Linked DNA regions of Ovis aries. The main gene of each other region encodes a partner of the protein of the gene in region 4 in a complex. Links are inferred from orthologs where the notes say so. Each region holds a gene or a part of one and is shown on either strand. Other genes may lie near its edges.

The links.
Region 1: TMEM231 (region 4) and B9D2 share a complex: the UniProt entries of both Homo sapiens proteins name them as parts of the tectonic-like complex. The link is inferred for Ovis aries from reciprocal best matches to the Homo sapiens genes TMEM231 and B9D2.
Region 2: TMEM231 (region 4) and TMEM17 share a complex: the UniProt entries of both Homo sapiens proteins name them as parts of the tectonic-like complex. The link is inferred for Ovis aries from reciprocal best matches to the Homo sapiens genes TMEM231 and TMEM17.
Region 3: TMEM231 (region 4) and TMEM107 share a complex: the UniProt entries of both Homo sapiens proteins name them as parts of the tectonic-like complex. The link is inferred for Ovis aries from reciprocal best matches to the Homo sapiens genes TMEM231 and TMEM107.
Region 5: TMEM231 (region 4) and TCTN1 share a complex: the UniProt entries of both Homo sapiens proteins name them as parts of the tectonic-like complex. The link is inferred for Ovis aries from reciprocal best matches to the Homo sapiens genes TMEM231 and TCTN1.
Region 6: TMEM231 (region 4) and CEP290 share a complex: the UniProt entries of both Homo sapiens proteins name them as parts of the tectonic-like complex. The link is inferred for Ovis aries from reciprocal best matches to the Homo sapiens genes TMEM231 and CEP290.

The regions. Positions count from the first base shown.
Region 1 is NC_056067.1:50,063,066-50,065,727, reverse strand, and holds the end of B9D2 (B9 domain-containing protein 2), read left to right. Parts: intron 1-1,562; coding exon 1,563-1,876; 3' UTR 1,877-2,162; downstream 2,163-2,662. UniProt on the Homo sapiens protein: Component of the tectonic-like complex, a complex localized at the transition zone of primary cilia and acting as a barrier that prevents diffusion of transmembrane proteins between the cilia and plasma membranes.
Region 2 is NC_056056.1:45,732,028-45,736,050, forward strand, and holds the start of TMEM17 (transmembrane protein 17), read left to right. Parts: upstream 1-1,223; 5' UTR 1,224-1,250; coding exon 1,251-1,350; intron 1,351-4,023. UniProt on the Homo sapiens protein: Transmembrane component of the tectonic-like complex, a complex localized at the transition zone of primary cilia and acting as a barrier that prevents diffusion of transmembrane proteins between the cilia and plasma membranes.
Region 3 is NC_056064.1:27,637,300-27,641,263, forward strand, and holds the start of TMEM107 (transmembrane protein 107), read right to left. Parts: upstream 2,801-3,964; 5' UTR 2,644-2,800; coding exon 2,557-2,643; intron 2,399-2,556; coding exon 2,331-2,398; intron 2,230-2,330; coding exon 2,129-2,229; intron 1,395-2,128; coding exon 1,298-1,394; intron 1,064-1,297; coding exon 994-1,063; 3' UTR 1-993. UniProt on the Homo sapiens protein: Plays a role in cilia formation and embryonic patterning. Requires for normal Sonic hedgehog (Shh) signaling in the neural tube and acts in combination with GLI2 and GLI3 to pattern ventral and intermediate neuronal cell types.
Region 4 is NC_056067.1:2,346,256-2,350,427, forward strand, and holds the start of TMEM231 (transmembrane protein 231), read right to left. Parts: upstream 2,801-4,172; 5' UTR 2,715-2,800; coding exon 2,576-2,714; intron 2,469-2,575; coding exon 2,299-2,468; intron 1-2,298. UniProt on the Homo sapiens protein: Transmembrane component of the tectonic-like complex, a complex localized at the transition zone of primary cilia and acting as a barrier that prevents diffusion of transmembrane proteins between the cilia and plasma membranes.
Region 5 is NC_056070.1:54,510,250-54,513,749, reverse strand, and holds part of TCTN1 (tectonic-1), read right to left. Parts: intron 2,860-3,500; coding exon 2,739-2,859; intron 1-2,738. UniProt on the Homo sapiens protein: Component of the tectonic-like complex, a complex localized at the transition zone of primary cilia and acting as a barrier that prevents diffusion of transmembrane proteins between the cilia and plasma membranes.
Region 6 is NC_056056.1:124,433,901-124,438,024, forward strand, and holds the start of CEP290 (centrosomal protein of 290 kDa), read right to left. Parts: upstream 2,801-4,124; 5' UTR 2,713-2,800; intron 2,603-2,712; exon of another isoform or gene 2,428-2,602; intron 1,912-2,427; 5' UTR 1,884-1,911; coding exon 1,782-1,883; intron 1,638-1,781; coding exon 1,560-1,637; intron 1-1,559. UniProt on the Homo sapiens protein: Involved in early and late steps in cilia formation. Its association with CCP110 is required for inhibition of primary cilia formation by CCP110.

The DNA.
Region 1 (2,662 bases), about 48 Mb from region 4:
CAGAACAGGTGATTGACAAGTCAGATTTTGCTTTTAAAAGATCCCTCTGGGGACTTCCCTGGTGGTCCAGGGGTTGAGGATCCATCTTCCAATGCAGGGGAGATAGGTTCTATCCCTGGTCAGGGAACTAAGATCTCACATGCTGTGGGGCAGCTGGGTCCCCGTGACTACTGAGCCTATGGGCTCTGGAGCCCTAGTGCCACAACAGAAATCCCATGTGCCACAACTGAGACCTGACTCAGCCAAACAAATAAATAAACTTGAAAAAAAAAAAAAAGATTGCAGTTAAAAAAAAGATCCCTCTGGCTGTCTCACAGGTGACGGATTGGAAGGTGAGGCAGGCCACAGTCCTTTCAGCTCTTAAGGATCCCAAATATCCTTGCTGTTTCTTTTCTCATTCTATTAGGAAATCCCATTAGCTCCCCCTTTGGAATGCATCCTGAATGTCATCACTCCCCCGACCCCCATCACCTCTCACTAGGCTGTTACCATAGAGTCTTTACTGAGGTGTCCCTCCTGTGAACACCTAAGTCAGGCCACATTCCTCCTCTGCTTAGGACCCTCTGTGGTCCCCACATCACTCAAGGTAAAAGGCAAAGCCTTACCGTGGAAGGACAGGGCCCTGCTTGATCTGGTTCTGTCTCCCCTTCCCCGTCTGCTCCAGCCACATCAGTCCCACCAGGCAGCTCCCACCTTAGGGCCTTTGCACTAGCTGTCCCCTCTGCTGGGAGCACTCTTTCCTAGATAGCCATATAGCCCCCAGTCTCTTCCCTCCTTTAAGCACTGCCTCCGATGTCACCTCAGTAAATTTTTTCTTGATCACCGCCTTCTAAAACTGCATGCCTACCTACTCCCACCCTACCCAGCTTATTTTTCTCCAGAGCAGTTATCACCATCTGACATACCCTATAATTTGCGTATTTACTGTGTTGGTTGTCTAAGATGTCAGCTGCACAAGGGCAGAAATTTTTGTCTGCCCTGTTCACTGCTGTATCCCCAGCTTCTAGAACAGGGCCAAGCTCAGAGAGACTCAAAAAGGAGGGTGAAATGGGGCTGGATCTCCCAAGCACTTTGCCTATAGGGTGAGGAGCTGAACTGTATCTTGAGTGAGGAACTGAGAAATCTATGGAAAGGGGAGAAAGATGCTTCCAGCTGCCAGGTGAAAGATGATGAAGGCAAGAAAGAAGGCCCCGAGGCCAGGAAAGAGGACAGGGTGTGGCCATGGGGAGGGAAGGAAGGAGGCATCCAGGACCAGGCCCACCACCCTCACCTGGGGACTGGGCTCCCCAGATATGTGGACACAGAGGAGAAGGCCAACAGAGAATTCAACAGAGGCCAGACCTCAAGGGTCTAGAATGTTGAGGTTGGACTTTATACTGAGAGCATTAGGGAATCATGGAAGGGTTTTGAGCCGAGGAAGAACCTGGATTCAGAAAGATCCCTTTGGCTGCTCTGTGGTGGTCCAGAGGAGGAGGGTGGGGCAGAAACCTGGCAGGGGGTCTTCAGGAGTAAGAGGCTGGACTGTACCCCTTCACCTTTCCACCCTCCCCCCTATCCTGCAGGCTGGCCCCGGCTCCATCTCCAGGTGTGGTCCCAGGACAGCTTCGGCCGCTGCCAGCTTGCAGGCTATGGCTTTTGCCATGTGCCCAGCAGTCCAGGCACCCACCAGCTGGACTGCCCCACGTGGCGGCCCCTGGGCAGCTGGCGAGAGCAGCTGGCGAGGGCCTTCGTGGGCGGCGGGCCTCAGCTGCTGCATGGAGATGCCATCTACAGTGGGGCTGACCGCTATCGCCTGCACACCACCTCCGGGGGCACTGTGCACCTTGAGCTGAGCCTGCTGCTGCGCCACTTTGATCGGTATGGGGTTGAATGCTGAAGGAGCCTATAAGAATGGCTGGCCCCCAGCCATGTCTTGGGACACCCCATAAGGGGCAGGATGGTGCAGTGGTCAGAAGCATGGGCTTTGGAGACTGTGAGGCCAGACCCAGCCAAGGCTGGTGCAGCTTCTAACCTGACTAGCACCTCAAGCCCAGTGGCTACCCCTCCCAGGTCCAGTTTTCCCATCTGTAAAATGGGCTAGTAGGTGTGTGGGCTCACAGGGGTTGGGTGCAGAGAAGCTGCTGGCACGTGGAAGGGCTCAATAAAGATGTAGTGCTTTTCAAGTGTGGGTGCTTTTTTGACCTTCATCTGTCAGACGTGGGCCGGGGGTGGGGGGATTCCTCCTACTGTTACCCTCCTCAAGCCCCCTTCCCTTGCCCTCTGCCTCAGCGTCTGACCCCCTTCTCCACTCTGGGTGATGCTCTTAAGGGCCCCCACTCGTTGGAGGTTCCCCCCGCCCCGTGCCCCTTTCCCCAGTGGCTCCTTAGTTTCTGGCTGACCCTCTTCCCCTCTGCCCCGGTTTCCCACTCTCCACTCAGGGCAGTCCACCTCGAAGTCCCTGTATCCTGGGTCCCCATTCTCTGAGCCTTCCGCACTACGTAGGTCTTTATGCTCTCGCTGACCCCCGGCCCAGTCCTCAAACCCACAAGCATCACTGCCGCCCGCTTCGGTAGCGCTCGACCGCCAGGAGGCAGCACCCTGTTGGTGGGGCGGAGCCGGGTGTCCGCCCCCTCCCCCCGGGCTTAAGGGACCCCCCTTGGAGCCCGCCCACGCAAGATGCGGA
Region 2 (4,023 bases), on a different chromosome or scaffold from region 4:
TGAGAGTTGGATTGTGAAGAAAGCTGAGTGCCGAAGAATTGATGCGTTTGAACTGTGGTGTTGGAGAAGACTCTTGAGAGTTCCTTGGACTGCAAGGAGATCCAAGCAGTCCATTCTGAAGGAGATCAGCCCTGGGTGTTCTTTGGAAGGAATGATGCTAAAGCTGAAACTCCAGTACTTTGGCCACCTCATGCGAAGAGTTGACTCATTGGAAAAGACTTTGATGCTGGTAGGGATTGGGGGCAGGAGGAGAAGGGGACGACAGAGGATGAGATGGCTGGATGGCATCACTGACTTGATGGACGCAAGTTTGAGTGAACTCCGGGAGATGGTGATGGACAGGGAGGCCTGGCGTGCTGCGATTCGTGGGGTGGCAAAGAGTCAGACACAACTGAGCGAGTGAACTGAACTGAGAAGACAGTATGTGTGAATATATAAGTGCATATATATATATATATTGCATAAGTGCATATATATATATGTGTGTGTGTGTGTGTGTGTGTGTGTGTATATATGTGTGTGTGTATATATATATGTGGCATGTGTCGGAGAAGGCAATGGCACCCCCCTCCAGTACTCTTGCCTGGAAAATCCCATGGACGGAGGAGCCTGGAAGGCTGCAGTCCATGGGGTCGCTGAGGGTCGGGCACGACTGAGCGACTTCACTTTCACTTTTCACTTTCCTACATTGGAGAAGGAAATGGCAACCCACTCCAGTGTTCTTGCTTGGAGAATCCCAGGGATGGGGGAGCCTGGTGGGCTGCCCTCTGGGGTCGCACGGAGTCGGACACGACTGAAGCGACTTAGCATGGCATGTGTATATATAAAATATCCCTAGTACATAACAACAGATATTCCTAGAAAAGAGTACGTGTATATACAGATACAGATAAGCTAGTGGGTCATGAATATTCTCTAAGTTCTGCATTCATTCTGTATTTCCTTCCAAAAAGGTTGCATTGACAAGTCGTTAGAGCTCCTATATCAAATCCAACCCCAGGTTGCTTATTATTATTGTTGCTTATTGTTAAAAGGGTGGAACTTAAGACTAAGGAATCTGCGAGTTGCACCCATCTGATGCGCCCCACAGGTATGAGTCCCTCTCCTCTCAGTTCGAGGGGTCCCCGCGCCTCGGCTCCGAAGTGCATCCGCGCGTGCGCCAGAGCCCACAGCACCTCCCACCGCTCGGTTGCCGTGGGAACAGCTGAGTACTGCGAAGACCTAGCAGTGAGTGGTACCGAGGTCCGGGCATGGAGCTGCCGGATCCAGTCCGCCAGCGGCTGGGAAATTTCAGCCGGACCGTGTTCAGCGACTCCAACCGGACCGGGCCGGAGTATAACGAGGGTCCGGGTGAGTGGCCGAGGCCCAGCGCAGGGTGTCTGGCGTGCGGAGGACCTGGCGCGGGGTTTGGAACGGCCAGATTTTGCCCGGACCTAAGATGGTGGTTTGGTCTTCAGCTGGTTCTCCGCAGTGCGGGAAACGCCCTGGAGGAGGGGCCGGGCCGCTGGCTGGGACTGGGACCAGATACCCGAACTCTGATACCCAGCTGGTCCCGGGCTGATCATGCTGCGGCCTAACCGGCCAGTTGCAAAAGGGGCGGCTGAGGTGGCGCTGGCATTCCTCAAAATATAAAAAATTTAAAGCCACCCTCGCAAGCCGCCTCCGGTGCCTTTCGTCCGAGAAGGCCGAGAAGGCCGATTTCTTTGCTTTTCCTCTGCGGCCTCCGCCCTGGCTTTTCTGCCCTGAATGGAGTGAAAAGAGCAATCTCCCCTTCCACTTCCCCCTCCCCGCCGCGTCCCGGTAAAATATCTTTTCCTTTTCTTCTTTCCTAGCAGAACAGGTACTTGCCACAAGTCCATTTTCTGGCAGAAGACATAGGTTTTTTTTAATGAGTTACTTTAAACGTTCTCCAGTCCGGAATGGCAGCTGCCTCACTAGCATCGCCTTTAACAAAACTCGCCCTCTCCCCACTTTCTCCTTCTCCTCCCCTATATATTTATAACTCTTGACCTAAATCAAGTAACACAATACCACGATGCCACATTTGATATGACAAGTGACAACGCAGTTTTCTGCAAAACAGTTTAACCCTCTTAAATCATGATGATAGACAACATACTGTCAACCACACCCAGGCAGCTTTTATCACTGAACTGTGCTGGGAAATAGAAATCTTTTCCTCTTGCATGGTTCAGGGATTTTTCAAAGGGAGCAGAGAAAAGTCATTTCCCACCGTTTCAATTTTTCACCCTAATCACTTGCCTGTCCTCCCAGTTGAGGGCTGGTCATGATTTAGGATGTACAGAGAAAAACATAATGTGAAAAATTAGGTTATTACGTTTCTGGTTTCTAGCACTAAAATCTGATGATGTAAAGTATCAGGAGTTTCTGTAAAGGGCCGGATAGTAAATACTTAATACCGTGCAGGCCATAGGTCTCTGTGGCAGTTATAGATAATGGTAATGGAATAGACATGGCAGAGTTCCAATAAAACTTTATTTATGGACACTAAAGTTGAAATTGCATGATTTTCAGTGTCACAAAATACTACTGATATTTCCCCCAACCATTTAAAAATCTAAAAAAGCCGTTTTTAGCTCACTTGCTGTACAAAAAGTTGGCTGCTAGTTTGCCTACTCCTGATTTATATTACATAGTGTTTTAATTTGAATTCCATTTACAGAACTCAGCTTGTACTTTTGCAAAATTTAATAACTTCATGTCTTGAGCTTTCAAGGTTCATTTACATATTAACTTGATTTTCAGCTGAATGATTATAAGTTTGATCTGCTGAAATATAGACATAGCATAACTCTTTAGATGCTTGTGTACAGAATTCTTAACATAAAAGCTTATTTGCAAAATTTTACTACAGTGCTTGCTCTGAAGGTATTAAAATTTCAATTTATTATTTATCCACCTTTTCTTTGTGGATCTGAAGTACATTTGATTGTTTGTACTGTAATTACAAGGGTATATTCTGACCATGTTCACAGCTGACCAAGAGTTTTACTGTTGTTGTGAAAAAATCCTAGGGGAGTGAGTTACCTTCAGATTTTAAGAATGCATTCCTTTATCAGTGGTAATTTAATAAATAGGTGCAAGCAAAAGTATATCATCATAATCAGGGATTTTCTTGGAACTAAAGGAAAACCCTTGCTGTGAGAGACCATAATAATTTTATATTTTAAAATTGTTAAATGATAGATATACTCAGCTATGGAGAAAAATAATCTGTTTTTAAGAAATTTATCTCAGAGCCTTTGTATATTCTTTCATTTCAAGCAGTAGATTTCAAAATACTTATCTACTCTTAAATTGTTATAATTTAGTCATATTTAGGATGCATTTGTAGGGGTCAGTTTTAAAAATCAAATTCTTAATTTAGAACTTTTCTCTCTTACATGAAAGCAAAAGGTACTATGTAATCAGCCTTCTGTTCAGTTCAGTTCAGTTGCTCATTTGTGTCCAACTTTTTGTGACCACATGGGCTACAGTATAGCAGGCTTCCCTGTCCATCACCAACTCCTGGAGCCTACTTAAACTCATGTCCATCAAGTAGGTGATGCCATCCAACTATCTCATCCTCTGTCATCCGCTTCTCCTCACGCCTTCAATCTTTCCCAGCGTCAGGGTCTTTTCCAGTGAGTCAGCTCTTCGCATCAAGTGGCCAAAGTATTGGAGTTTCAGCTTCAGCATCAGTCCTTCCAATGAATATTCAGGATTGATTTCCTTTAGGATTGACAGGTTGGATCTCCTTGTAGTCCACGGGACTCTCAAGAGTCTTCTCCAACACCACAGTTCAAAAGCATCAATTCTTTGGCGTTCAGCTTTCCTTATAGTCCAGCTGTCACATCCATACATGACTATTGGAAAAACCATAGCTTTGACTAGATGGAACTTTGTTGGCAAAGCAATGTCTCTGCTTTTTAATATGCTATCTAGGTTGGTCATAGCTTTTCTTCAAAGGAGCAAGCATCTTTTAATTTCATAGCTGCAGTCACCATCAGCAGTGATTTTGGA
Region 3 (3,964 bases), on a different chromosome or scaffold from region 4:
TGAAAGCGAAGTCGCTCAGTCGTGCCCGACGCTACTTCAAGTACAACTAAGGAGACAGTACTAAAAACTCAATCTAATCGTAAAGTACATTAACATCACGGATCGCCAGGAAGAATCAGATAGGAGCAATCAGGGTGTTGCAAGTCCTGATTACGCAGAGCCGTTAATCACGAATCATGCGAGCTCCAATCATCATGTTCTATTCTGCCCTCCAAAAGGAGGAACAGGTAAGGATTATCCTACCTGACGATACCGAGAGGACTGCAATATTCCGTACTCCGGTAATAAGACTCCGCTAACAGGTAGGGTGAGTAAACGACATGTTAGTTCGAGCCATCTAAAGCTATCCAGGTTCTTCCACTTCTGTTGTTCAATTTATTTGCAGATGTTTTAAAATAAATTTTTCCATTTGGCTGTCAAAAAGCAAACGCTAATCCCTCCCAGAATGCTTCACTCACTTTAAGAGCTCGAGGTACTAAAGTATAACCTTATTTACATATCTCCGCCCACTCCCTTCCGTCAGAAATCTACCGTAATAACTAGAATAGAAGCGACATTTAGGGTCTTACAGTGCAAGGCTGGAAAACAGCCTTCCGTTTCTATAGTAGTTTGGCCACCCCAATTTTCTCCTGAAATTTTTGTCTTGATTTTTTTCTTTTTCTTTTTTTTGGCCACGCTGCCTAGCATTCAGGATCTTGGTTGCTCCACCAGGGACTGAACCCGCTGCAGTGGAGGCGTGGGGTCCTAACCACTGGACAGCCAGGGAATTCCTGCAGGAATTCCTGTAAGTTTGATCTTACCCTAAAATATATTTTATTACAAAGGACTGTAAACAAAACACAGATAATCCCAGACTTGAGAGATAATTACCCTAACACTGACATCGTTCACCAAACGCAGTGTTAGAAGGAGGGCTGAAGCCTCCCTCTTCCAGGAAGGGTGAGTAGTCCTTCGCTCCTTCAGCCTTCATCCCTACTTCCAGTCACGAAGATATCAGAAAGGTTTCTTTTTCAGGCCAAAGACGCTGATGAATAATGTTATTTCGGTGACAGCCGGGAGGGCACTGAGGAAGGCAGGTGATGGGTTCAGAGTTTCTTCTAATAAAAATACCCAGATCCCCAAGCCAGCGATCCCACCCCCCGACCCCCTGAAGTGTAGGAGTGGAGGACTTCAAAAAGACTCGGGAATGTTGAGTGGATCTGGTATGTTACACATGGAACAAAGGGCTGGGTAGGGGAATCTTCAGATTTAAAGTAAACCTCCCTTCCCCATCCTCAAACATTAGGTGCTACCATACCTGCAAAAGACAAAAATGTACCAATACATGGTGCACTCCCAACGCTCAAATATGAAGAAGGATAGGGCCACAGATGCACTACAGTGAGCCCCGATGGCTTGGGAATACACCAGAGTCAAGGAAAGCCTTTGGGTCAACAGGTAGTGATGAGCCAGAAAAGGCCGGTGATGGGCCTGGCATCTGCATTCACAATCAGCTCCTGGTGAGCAAGGCATCTCTTGCTCCCTTTACCACACTGCAAAGGCCAGAGCCAGCAGCCCAGATTTTTGGGTTTTAGGATGGCCATGTGTAGAGGCCAGAGCTGAGCCTGCCCTGTTGGGAAACCAAGCTACCTCCATCCCATATCTAGTTTGGATCCTTCAGGTGAAGTAGTAGACTCCTGATCTACTCCAAGCACACAGACATGCTCACAGTGACACAATACACTGCTGGGATCACTCTCCAGTACCCTGGTGTTGAGAGCCTTCCCTGATCCATCTTCCTCACTTCCTTTGTCTCTTCGGCATTCCCATAGTGCTTTGTATCTTAACATCTGATGGCACCCGTGCTTATCACACTGAATTGCAGATGTCTGTGTATCTGCCTCTTCCTCAAGATAGAAAACTGTTGTACTCTCATCTTGAGATCTCCAGTGCCTGGTGAGTAGCAGGAGCTCAAAAAGTGATCAGAGATTGTATTAAATCTTCCACATTGCCTAACATCTCTCCACAGGAGGGATTCTGTTTGCCTGCTAGAGCAAACGCCATTGTGCCAGAAAGGCCTAGTTAAGTGGCTGAAGGGCGTTATGGTGGACAAGGGCGAGGAGGAAAGGAGTACACGTAGAAAGGATACAGATGAGGCTCTGGGTGCTGTTGAACATGGAAACTCCTAAGAAGAAACCAGCCAGCTCCACTGCAAAGAGAGCTAGGGTGACAGAGAGCGCTGCCACCAGCCTGCAGAAAAGAAGGAAGTGGCTTAGGCCTTCTGAACTTTTTCTAAGACCCCTTCACTCCCTCTACTGCCTAATTCTGCCCACCCTGTCCCACATGCTCACTGAATGTCCTGCTTCTCATACTCTTCAGGGGTGAATCTGAGAGGCAGGCAGGCCTGGATGTTGCTGTCCTAGGGAGCAGGGCAGAAAGAAACAGAAGTTGAAAGAGGGTCTGGCGGCTGGATATGGGAAGACCCCACCGTGTAAGGCCCCGGGAGAGAAAGGGTGGAGTGGGGCTGGGACCACCCCAAATTGGAAGGAGGAACGAGAAGAGGGCCCTGGGTCTTACCCTGGACCAGAATAAGGTGATGACGACCACCAGATGCGCCAGGAGCGTCAGAAAGCGAGAGGGCACGAGCCCTGAGATCCGGCCCATGGTTCCCAGGGGAAGAGGTACCGCCTGGAGCAGAGGCCGTTTGTCTCTGGGGCTGGAAGCTCAAGGAGGGTCACTCCTCAAGTCTCCCAAGCTAGCAGACAAAAATTCGACGTACGCCGCTTTCCCGCTTACGCTGGCACCGCTCAGTTGCCTTAGTAACCGCAAAAACGATGGCTCCGACGGGACCTCTGAAAGTCTCGCGAGAGCGGCAAATTATCGCGCCGCCTCCGGGCCTCTGGGAAACTTTGTTCCGGGTCCACAATACCTGTGCAGATCCCGACCGGATGCGGAGAATCGAGCTGCCGGCCTTCCCGCGTGCAGATGAGTTGTCTGCACAGCCTGAGAGTGTGTTGTGGCGCGGCCCCCCATTGCCGAGTCTGCCCACACAGCACTGGCGAACGGAAATTCGGACACTCGCTCCTCCCTGTATCCCCATGCCGGGAGCGGCCTGGCCCCCAGCCCCTGCTACTTTGCCCAAGATGATCCTCCAGACACCACAGTCACCACCACTCCAGCCTTAGGGCGTCAACATGCCCGAGCCCTGGACACTGTCTTTTCTTCCATCCCCCGCATCCGTGTAGCTTCTCCTTGACCTAGGCCGAACTTGGAGAGGTGGATGCCCCTTTATTGTCCTGGAGCCCCTGGTTGTTGGCGGACCGTATACCTGAACTTTCCTTGATTCTGATTCCCCACCCAACCACCCACCCAGCTCGCTCAGATTGGTGAGGGATTTGCAGAGTACAGAAAAGAGCCCCTCTCCTGAACTAGGGTGTGGATGAGAGGCGTGTTGCGGGAAGGAAGTGGACGTACGGGACCAGAAAAGGGAGTGGAGGAAGAGAATGAAACCCCGCGTCCCTGGGAGGCAAGAGTCGAAGGCGGAAATTCAGAGTCTACGATTTCCTTATCTCTTGGAGGTGTGACCAGCAGAGTCTCTTTGCCCAGCTATAGTCCAAGCATTTCTCACGATTGGGACCTCACGGACCTTCGGACCTTAAAGGTGATTCCTGTAGAACGGAAAGTTCTCGCCGGAGTTCACGGCTAACAGTCAAGTCACAACTTCCAGGCTCCCCCCCCCACCCTCTTACCAGATCATCTCCCAAGAATAATAATGGATAATCCATAATAAGAATAGAAAAGAGTTTTATTTGAGCCAAACTAAGGAGTAGCCTGGAAGCTCCTTTCCCCGATTACTCTGAGAAACTGCCCCAGCGAAGCATCTTTTTCAGTGCAGTTTTGCATCTTGTAAGAACAAAGAACTTTATACAAGTCAGGGTTACATTTCTTCTTCTTCTTTTTTTTTTTTTTTCTTTTTTAAGGACCA
Region 4 (4,172 bases):
TGAAATCCTATTCATAACTCTGATTATTTTTCCCTTCTACTTTTCTAGAGTTGACAATTATTTTATTTGCTTGCTTAGTTTTCTATGTATTTTTGCAATGTCAACAAACAGCTTCTATTCCAGTTCCTCACAATTTGATGTTTAAAGGTGTATGATTTAGTAAAAATCTTGTTCACTGCAATATTCTAATAGTGAAAAAGTAAAAACAAAAAATCCACCAACAGGAAACTGGTAAATCAATTACAGGTTTCCATATCATGAAATATTTGGCTGTTTAGTCACCAAGTTGTGTCTGGTTCTTCTGTAACCACATGTAGTATATAGCCCACGAGGCTTCTCTGGCCATGGGATTTCCCAGGAAAGAACACTGGACTGGGTTGCTATTTCCTTCTCCAGGGGATCTTCCTGACTCCCAGAGATCAAACCCATGTCTCCTGCATTGGCAGGCGGACTCTTTACCACTGATCCATCAGGGAAGTCCCTAGCAGATCTTAAAATGAAGGTTAATTATAACAAGTCTAGATACATGTACCAAACTGAGCCTTTAATTTCATATGGTTTTTCCAGTAGTCATGTATGGATGTGAGAGTTGGACTGTGAAGAAGGCTGAGTGCCGAAGAATTGATGCTTTTGAACTGTAGTTTTGGAGAAGACTCTTGAGGGTCCCTTGGACTGCAAGGAGATCCAACCAGTCCATCCTGAGGGAGATCAGCCCTGGGATTTCTTTGGAGGGAATGATGCTGAAGCTGAAACTCCAGTACTTTGGCCACCTCATGTGAAGAGTTGACTCATTGGAAAAGACTTTGATACTGGGAGGGATTGGGGGCAGGAGAAGAAGGGGACGACCGAGGATGAGATGGCTGGATGGCATCACAGACTCAATGGACGTGAGTCTGAGTGAACTCTGGGAGTTGGTGATGGACAGGGAGGCCTGGCGTGCTGCGATGCATGGGGTCGCAAAGAGTTGGACATGACTGAGTGACTGAACTGAACTGAACTGAACTGATATGTACCTGTAACTCTATTTTCAATGAGCAGGCATTTTTATAATTATAAACAAATTAAAGTAATCATAAAAAGTAATCATAACCATATTTTGTTGGTGGTTATTCATTTATGGCCAATTACATTAAAAATTTTTTTTCCATTTTATTCAGTTACTGGGATAAAAGTCTGAAATTATTTTTTTTCAGCTACACAAATTGGAATGTAGGCCAATCATCTCAGATATCTAAAGAGATTCAACTTTGGAAGAAGGAAATCCAGAGTTTTCCTACTTCCAAAGGAAAATGCTTTCAGAAAGTGAGTTTAAAGGGGTGACTGTAAAGGAAGCACTCACTTAACTTGAACCAGATACTACAGGACAGGCAGTAAAATGCTTCATTTCAGCCCCAGGAAGCAGCAGCAGGACTGAGCGGCACCTGAAGAGGTGAGCCCAGGGAGGCGGGCCTGGCCAGCAGGACATTCTGGAGGTCAGCTAACCAATCAGCCCGTTGGCTTCGCCGTGACAGTCCGCCTAAAACTGCCTGCCCTTTCTTTGCGGGCAGTGGGCGCACGGACAACGGAGCGGCACAACGGGGTGATTGACCGGAACAGAGGATGAGATGGTTGGATGGCGTCACTGACTCAATGCACAGGAGTTTGAGCAAACTCGGGGAGATGGTGAAGGACAGGGAAGCCTTGCGTGCTGCAGTTTACGGGCTCGCAGAGTGGGGCTTCCCTCAGAGCTCAGTTGGTAAAGAATCTGCCTGCAATGCCAGAGACCTGGGTTTGATTCCTGGGTCGGGAAGATCCCTTGAAGGAGGGCATGACAACCGCCTCCAGTATTCTTGCTGGGAGAATCTCACGGACAGAGAAGCCTGGTTGGCCACAGTCCATGGGGTCGCAAGGGTCAGACACGACTTAGCGACTAAACCACCACCACCACCATAGAGTCGGACACGACTTAGGGAATGAACAACAACGCAACTCACACAGCAAACTCTGCGACCACCATTCCCTCAGGAAGGGCCAGGCCGAAATGTCAGGAATTGTCAGGGGTTGGAGACTCTGCAGAGAGCAGAGACACTGACAGTAGCAGCCAGCTTACCCGGGGTGGGGGACGGCTTGGAGAAGCCGAATGTACCAACAAACAGGCCTCCAGGAAAGGAAACAAGCTCGGGTCTGGGGTTCGTGACTCCTTCAGCCGCACACCGAGTTCCCCGGGACAGGGGCCGGAGCCTCCCGTCAGGCCGCGCCCTCCGCCCATCCCCTCCGCAGCCCAGTCTGCGCAGCCGGGCCCAGGCGGGAAGCACTCACCGAGACAAGCGGGACGCGCAGATGACCCTCCTGCAGCCGGTTGAAGGCGGGGAACGTGCTCCAGGCGAGGAACCCGCCCGGCTCGGATCCTAGCAAGGCCACGAGCAGCACCTGGTGCTGGAAGCGCACGGTTGGCTGCTCCTCGTAACTGCTCCGTTTTAGCCAAAACCCTGAGGTAACGAGAGTGCGGGGTGCAGAGACCCGGGTCAGGGAGGCGGCGCGGGAGCCACGTAGCGCTGCGGGGCGCGCACCGGCCGGGGCGAGGGGGCAGACTCACCGTGGCTCCGGAAGGCCACCAGCAGCGGCGGGATGTACGTGAGCGCGGCGGCCAACAGCAGGAAGAGCGCCGCCTTGGAGCAGAGCCCGGCACGGTAGCCCCGCTCCACTGGATGCGCGTAGAGCTCATAGAGCGCCATGAGGAGCACTCGGGGTCTTGTTCCCTCGGCAGTTCCGGAGCCTCGACCTAGTATGGCTTCTCCTGGTTGCCATAGCCGTGGTCTCCACGGCAACCGACGGCCCAGGGAGAGCGACCAATAGCGAGCAGGCGGGCTTTCCGTGGGGGCGTGGCCAACGGGGCGGGGCCCGCAAGTACACTGTGGTCGCACACTGCTTGCGCGTTCCCAAAGGGTGTTTCCGTGCGCCCAAACCGTGGCCGTTGTTAACAATTTTGTAAAATAAGGTTTTTTCATAAATGTTGACTATTTATTAATAGTCAAATCTATTAATCCCCAATGTGGTTTATTGTACACTTAAGTCTAACCAATCACAGCACACCGTACGTTGGAGGCAAACAAAAAAAAGTGGCCGTGGTCCTAGACACTTGGTCCTGGGTTAAGACCAAACCAGGTCCCTTTGTTTCCAAATTTTCTATCGCTTTCACTATACTCCATAGCAGGGCAGACACGGAAACAGACCTATCTCCCTGCTGTTCGAGGGGAAAAAAAAAGATAATTATTGTATAGCTCTGCTATACTTTGCTATCTTGATTGGGAACAAGCTTTATGCTACTTATTTTAGGAGAAGCCGTGGTCCTCCTCAAAGATAAAGTTACACAGGGAAGCCTGGCGTGCTGCAGTCCATGGGGTCGCAAAGAGTCGGACACAACTGAGCGACTGAACTGAACACTTAATTGAATGCTTCCACCGTCCCATCCCATCTGCTTTCTAGTATTTCAAACATGGCAGAAGAAATTTTTTTTTTTTAAGTAGTCAATAGCCAAGTTCTCCATCAAAAGGCCCTAAAGGATCACATTGCAGTGCCGAGTTAGTGTGAAGTTTGTGCTCAGAATGAGATCCACTCATAAATACTCCTATTTTGAAGGCAACCTAGAAGTGGGGTTTTCTCCTAGATTTATTGAGGTATAATTGACATATAGCACTGTATAAGTTTAAGGTGTACAACATAATGATTTGAGTTACATGCATCATGAAATGATTACCACAATAAATTTGTTGAACATCTCTCATCTCATATAGATTACAAATTAAGGAAATAGAAAAAAATTTTCCCCTGTGATGACAACTCTTAGCATTTACTCTTTCATCTACAAAATAAAGTAGTGTTAATTATATTTATCATGTTGTACATTACCTCCCTAGTACTCATTTATCTTATAACTGGAAGTTTGTATCTTCTGACTGACTTCATCCAACTTTCCCCTCCCTCCACCTTGCCTCGGGTAATCACAAACCTGATCTCTTTTTAATGAGTTCGTTTTTGAAGTATAATTGACCACAACATTAGGTTAGTTCCTGTTATACAATATAGTGATTCAGTATTTCTATACATTTCAAAATGATTACCATGATAAGTTTAGTTATTATAACCTAGAATTGGGTTTTCGATGAAGAGAACAGCTGAGATCCTAGCAAAGA
Region 5 (3,500 bases), on a different chromosome or scaffold from region 4:
GGATTTGAAATAGCTCAACTGGAATTCCATCACCTCCACTAGCTTTGTTCATAGCAATGCTTTCCAAGGCCCACTTGACTTCACATTCCATGATGTCTGGCTCTAGATTAGTGATCACACCATCATGATTATCTGGGTCGTGAAGATCTTTTTTGTACAGCTCTTCTGTATATTCTTGCCACCTCTTCTTAATATCTTCTGCTTCTGTTAGGTCCATACCATTTCTGTCCTTTATCGAGCCCATCTTTGCATGAAATGTTCCCTTGGTATCTCTAATTTTCTTGAAGAGATCTCTAGTCTTTCCCATTCTGTTGTTTTCCTCTATTTCTTTGCATTGATCGCTGAAGAAGGCTTTCTTATCTCTTCTTGCTATTCTTTGGAACTCTGCATTCAGATGCTTATATCTTTACTTTCTCCTTTGCTTTTTGCTTCTCTTCTTTTCACAGCTATTTGTAAGGCCTCCCCAGACAGCCATTTTGCTTTTTTGCATTTCTTTTCCATGGGGATGGTCTTGAACCCTGTCTCCTGTACAATGTCAAGAACCTGATTCCATAGTTCGTCAGGCACTCTATCTATCAGATCTAGGCCCTTAAATCTATTTCTCACTTCCACTGTATAATCATAAGGGATTTGATTTAAGTCATACCTGAATGGTCTAGCGGTTTTCCCTACTTTCTTCAATTTGAGTCTGAATTTGGTAATAAGGAGTTCATGATCTGAGCCACAGTCAGCTCCTGGTCTTGTTTTTGTTGACTGTATAGAGCTTCTCCATCTTTGGCTGCAAAGAATATAATCAATCTGATTTTGGTGTTGACCATCTGGTGATGTCCATGTGTAGAGACTTCTCATGTTGTTGGAAGAGGGTGTTTGCTATGACCAGTGCATTTTCTTGGCAAAACTCTATTAGTCTGTGCCCTGCTTCATTCCGCATTCCAAGGCCAAATTTGCCTGTTACTCCCGGTGTTTCTTGACTTCCTACTTTTGCATTCCAGTCCCCTATAATGAAAAGGACATCTTTTTGGGTGTTAGTTCTAAAAGGTCTTGTAGGTTTTCATAGAACCGTTCAACTTCAGCTTCTTCAGCGTTACTGGTTGGGGCATAGACTTGGATTACCGTGATATTGAATGGTTTGCCTTGGAGACGAACAGAGATCATTGTGTCGTTTTTGAGATTAGGACTGTTAGTTTTCATTATTTCTATACTTCATATTTAGTAGAAGGTCACAAGCAAAACTAACTCAAAAAAAACCTCAAGTTCTTTCCTGAGGGCACTACGAATTCAGTTCTAATTTCTAACCCATGGTGCCACAAACTACACTTAATCTTGTAAATAAGTTTTACTGAAATGTAGTCACGCCCATTCATTACATGCCTGCTTTTGCTCAACAGTGGCAGAGTTGAAAAGCTGCAACAGAGCCCACACAGCCTGCAGAGCTTCAAGTGTTCATTATGTGGCCTTTTACAGAAAAAGTTGGCTGACCACCATTCTAAATAGTCTATATCTAAAATTACAGTACTGGCTATTTCTTAAGAACTACATTCTAAATAATGACCGCAAATCAGAACAGATATCTCACTCTCAAGCTCCTGGAACTTACTAATTCAGGAAAACAGAATGATTTTCAACAAAGACTGAACCACAGTATAGTTCAGGGAGCCAGAAAAATAATCTGACTACAACACCCCATGCTCCAGGCATTTTAACAACATCAGAAGTAGATTGGATTTCCTATTGGTCAATAAAATAGTTTCTCATGGGAAAAACACACTGTGCTTCCAAAAAAGCATTCAACCTATCAAATTTCAACTGCTAAACTTCGTACAAGACTGAATTTAAATTGGCTATCTCTGAATAATAAACTGGTCCCATCCTGAATAAATTAACTTCTTATAAGTGCTATTATTTTATCAAAAAGCTTTGAAATCAGAATTACGAAAACCAGGTAACTCAGAAGAAACTGTTTATCTTGCAATCGACTGGGAATGTCATTTTCCATTATTCTCCTACACGATGTGAACTGTGAGAATTCCTCGTAGATTCATCTACTAGAAAGGTATAAACAAAGCTTTCCTTTCTAATTTTCGTTAGAAAATTATGTCCACAACAAAAGCTGTAAAATTAAACTGCACTTTTCACCCTAGGCTATACCTGAGACTAATTCACAAATACAAAAACGTGACACCTTATTTGTTTACAAATCAAAGTGAAACGTAATTCAATCTCTTAACACAGAGATTTCATTATAACCTTTGTGAAAAGTACACTCTCACTTCTCTTTTGCCTGCACTATCATCTGGCTGAATGCAAATAAGGGATAGATACTGTTCTACACAGGCTTCCCAGATGTCTCAGTGGTAAAGCACCCATCTGCAGATGCAGGAGTTTGATCCCTGTGTCAGAAGATTCCCTGGAGAAGGAAATGGCAACCCACTCCAGTCTTCTTGCCTGGGAAACCCCATAGAGAGGAGCCTGGCGGGCTACAGTCCATGGGGTCACAAAAGAGCTGGACACGAGGGCTTCCCTGGTGGCTCAGTCAGTAAAGAGCTGGACACGACTTAGCGACTAAACAATAACTCTTCAATACACTGATTTCAACAGCATGGCTTCTGAAAGATGCAGAATTCAGGAAATCAGCCTGGGGTGATTTGGGTTTTTTCAGCCTGGAGGAGTTTTCACTGTCTGTCCCCAAATTTTATAATCTTGGTCCAATTTATCAAAACTTCATGTTACAAACTTACGTGACAACTGGAATTGAGCAGGCAGAAAAGACACTGAAATCCACGGAGCTGCAATCAGGATCACAACAGCAGTTGATGTCACACTGTGCTGGAGACAAGTCACAGACACACAGAGCAGCAACTACAGAAACAAGAGAGGTGGGGCGCAGAGCGTCACAATCTGCAGGTAGTGACTGCCCCCTGCCACTGCAAAGTACCAAAAGTCCATCTCATACAAAGGTCCATTTTATTCTTCCTATTGCACTTTGGGGGAAATCTGTGAAGTGAAATGAGTCAGTTTGAGCACTCCTCCATCTGAGATTTTCCCAAAGTGGCCAATCATCTGACTCACTTGGAAAGTTCTGTTTGCACTCTCCCTACAAAAACTCTGATTTGGTAAGCTAACTGTGAAACCCACACACCTGGTCCTTTCAAACACTTTCCAGGTGATGCTGATAATTAAAATAGGTTTAAGAATCAACACAGTAAATCACTTGCCTGACCATAAGAACCATCGGTTTAATATTGCAGATTTCTAAGCTCCTCTGGAGATTCCAATTCAGAGGAAGGGCCCACTTAAGGCTACCAAGAATCAAAATTCTCAATTTTGTTCCTCTCCTCAGATGTCACCTGCAGCTTTGAAGCTGAGTCCATGTTCACAGGCTATTGGCCAAGGATAACGCTGGCTCAGGTTCCTTGTACTTGGGGTTCTAGAAATATCTTTGGTAATTCAGACAGTAAAAACATGGGAAGAGGTAGAAGCCCTACTTAGCAAGTTTTAAT
Region 6 (4,124 bases), on a different chromosome or scaffold from region 4:
CCTATCCCCAGTTTTTATTTACGGTAACTTTCAGCTCTAGAGGGCTTCCCTTGTGGCTCAGCTGGTAAAGAATCCACCTGCAATGCAGGAGACCTGGGTTCAATCCCTGGGTTGGGAAGATTCCCTGGAGAAGGGAAAGGCGACCCACTCCAGTATTCTGGCCTGGAGAATCCCATGAACTGTATAGTCCACGGGGTTGCAAAGATTCAGACAGGACCGAGTGACTTTCACCTTCACTTTTCACTTTCAGCTCTAGAGGGCTTCCCAGATGGCACTAACCTGCCTGCCAATGTAGGAGGCGTGAAAGATACGAGTCAGGAAGATCCTTTGGAGGAGATCAGGGCAACCCACTCCAGTATTCTTGCCTGGAAAATCCCATGCACAGAGGAGCCTGGCAGGCTACAGTCCATAGGATTACAAAAGGAGCCTGGCAGACTACAGTCCACAGGGTTACAAAGAGTCGGACATGACTAAAGTGACTTAGTACATATGCATACCAGCGCTAGAAGCTCGTTAACACTTTACCACTGCCTCCACTTACCTAAAACTACTCAACAGTCTTTGACCTTTATAAGGTATGAAAGTGAGTGATCATCGATCAGTCGTGTCTGACTCTTTGAGACTCCATGGACTATATAGCCCACGGGATTCTCCAGTATTCTGGAGTGGGTAGCTGTTCCCTTTTCCAGGGGATCTTCCCAACCCAGGGATTGAACCCAGGTCTTCTGCATTACAGGCAGATTCTTTACCTGCTGAGCCACAGCAAAGCTCTTAAAACATATCATTTCAGTTCAGTGGGTCAGTTGTGTCCAACTCTTTGCAACCCCATGAATCACAGCATGCCAGGCCTCCCTGTCCATCACCAACTCCCAGAGTTTACCCAAATTCATATCCATTGAGTCGGTGATGCCATCCAGCCATCTCATCTCCTGTCGTCCCATTCTCCTCCTGCCCCCAATTACTCCCAGCATGTAAAAGGTATTCTCACATCTAAATCTCTTCCTCTCCTAACAAATCCCTGCAGTGGTTGGCTACTCTAACAAATTATAACATAATTAACATAAAACAGGCTTCCCTGATAGCTAAGTTGATAAAGAATCTGCCTGCAATGCAGGAAACCCTGGTTCGACTCCTGGGTTGGGAAGATCCGCTGGAAAAGGGATAGGCTACCCACTCCAGTATTCTTGGGCTTCCCTTGTGGCTCAGCTGGTAAAGAACTGCCTACCATGAGGGAGACCTGGGTTCAATCCCTGGGTTGGGAAGATTCCCTGGAGAAGGGAAAGGCTACTCATTCTAGTATTCTGGCCTGGAGAATTCCATAGACTATATAGTCCATGGGGTCACAAAGAGTCAGACACAACTGAGCAACTTTCACTCACTAATGTAAGACATCCCTATGCTTTTTAAAACACAACTGTTCTGCTTCCCCTACACATTCTTTTAGGAACTTTAGCTGTCATTTAGATTTTACAAAGTGCTTTAGAGATTAACTTATCTAAGCAGAGATTCTTAAGCTTTCTCTAATAGTCAAAGCTACTAGTAAAGTACTGCATACAAACCTTCATTAATGATTGAGTAATTCTAAAAAGGTGTATCATATTTTCTTGACTTTCACTTTTTAGCTCATTTACTTCCACCTAAGTAAAGAGAAAAGCAACAATTTCATATTTTATAATCCTTAAACAAAATATAATAATTCTTTCAGTTGTTACCATTCAGTGATTTCAAGGACAATTTAATCATAGTTGTATATATGTATCTATGCTTTATCAATTAAGTACCTTGGATAAGGAAATTAATAAATTATCTGCCAATTCTTCTTGACGAGGCAGCTCATCTGGGTCAACCTTTCTTATTTCTTTCCAGTTTATATTAGGTGGCATCTTGAATTCTTTCAATGTGCTTTACCTTCTGTAATAAAACAAGTGGGTATTAGCATTTACAAGGTAAGTAGCATTACTGTCTTTACAGTAATTTAAAGTTGTTACAGATCACATTGTTACAACTCTCTACGGAGTTTGCAAAAAGTTATTGCTTCTCAATTGTGTAACAGATACGTCGATTAAATAGCCTGAATGAAAAGTACAGCAGTTGCAAAAAATCATCAGATATTTTATAGGTCAAATAATTACGAAGGCTTCCATGCTTAAACTATAAGTCAGAACTAAGATTCTGAGTCCCGCTCCTCCACGACCCCTTACCACCTCGAACACCTAATGGTGCCAAGTGCGGGGGTGCTTGAAAGGCTGAAGTTGAGCCCCGATTCGGAGAAACAAAAACTAGGATTTAAGAAAAAAAAAAAAAGTGAGGAAATATACGACTGAAACGAGTGCAGTTGGGCCTGGGAAATCAGGGCTGCAGCGAAAGGCAAGCAAACCGATTGCGGACAGGAGGCTAAGGAACGGGGAAACTGAGCTGTTGTCTTACCTGGGCCCCGAAGGTTAAAGAACCTGTGTGGGAAGAGACTCGGTTTGCGCTCACCAGGATCCACCTACCTACACCAAACCTGGCAACCAGCGGCGGCCGCTCAGCTACCGTACCCACTCGGCCCGGCCCAGCCGCCAAACCTGACCGCTCTCCAGCGCCCTTCCTATCGGACACTGGATCCCGCCTACTGGTCCGGAGCGAGTAATAGCGACAGCGGCTGCTAGGCGACACCATTCCCCACCCCGCCGAGGCCGCAACAAGAGCCCGGATGCTAGCGATGCCTACATTTCACGACCGTGGATGATGCTTTACGTTCAGATTCCCGCGCGAGTTCCCTGCACTGTGTGTTATGGACGAAGTGAAGGCGTGAGGTGAGGACTCCAAATCCCAAAATGCAGTTCTGCTGGGAGGCCGGGACTTTTGGACGATGAAGTCTCTGAGAAGTGGAGGTAGGCCGTTCCCGGCGTGCAGTGCGGGAGGCTGCGGCGGTACCGGGGTGCGGGGGGACCGCGGTGCGGGGGGACCGCACGGAGGCGGGAGGCGCTGCGGCCGAGGCGTGTCTGCGCTGGTGACCTGAAAGAGGCCGAACATGACTGTGCCTTCGGTGGCGTCGCTCGCCGGACCGCTCTTCCCGAGGTTTCTCTAAGTCAACCCCGGGTGGAACTGCTCCCAGGTGAGGTCGGGCTATTGGTTAGTGGCGGGGAGGAGGTAACGGGAGCGGTCCCGGGTGAGAGAAGCTCCTGCCTTTGGGGCCGAGGGGCCCGGCCAGAGTCTGAAGAGGTGGGAAGACGCCGCCCTCTCCTTGGGCGTTCGCTGGCGACGCCCTGGGTGGTGCCCTCTGTAAAAAGGCAGAAGTCTTAGCTTCTTCGATTTCATAGTCTGTCTCCGTACAGTGGAGTGGGGGCCGCGAGCTTGGCAGGGGGCGAGTGAGAATTTGGGAAGAGGACACTGCATCCTCCGACCTCGGCCGCCTTACCTGTAGCCCCATTATCTTCGCGGGTTGACGGACTAGAAGATTGAGCGAAGGTTCCAGAGAGGAGAGGTTAGAACTTGCCCAGGCCCCTGCTAGGAGATAGAAAGGGAAGGCTGCTCTGTACTCACCAGCCCTGGTGCTGTCACTTGCTTGGTGACCAAGGGTGGTTTTCCCTGACAACTGCCTTAAACGCTTGCAGCTTTTCTTTGTGCAAGTTTTGCCCATCGGGCTGCTCTCAACTATTCTGGAATGTGATACACCGCTAGGAAAACTTTCTTAAGCTGTAGACTTGAAAGCTAAATATATTTTCAACTGTTTGGACCAGTGCATCCATCTTTTTAAAATTTGAAGCACTTTCTTTCATTTGCTAACTATAATTGATACCGAAGTTTACTTTTGAAAATTTCTTTCCAAACCGTTCAGTAGAAAATAACATAATTTTGTGATCCACTTAGAGACATTCATCGGCTTTGTAGAATAGTGATCATTTTGTCTGGTCCTTGACTGGAAGATGGTATACCAAACACTGTTCATTAACCCTTTTTTGACTATGCCGTATGTCCCCATAAATTATCTTATAAATGAAAGTTTGTACCTGTTGACAAATCTGTTCTTTGTTTCTGTCAGTTTGCTTTTTTTAGAGTCCACATATAAAGGAGATCACAGTTGTTTTTCTTTCTCTCTCTGACGTTTCACTTAGCATAATGCCATCATGTTCCATCCA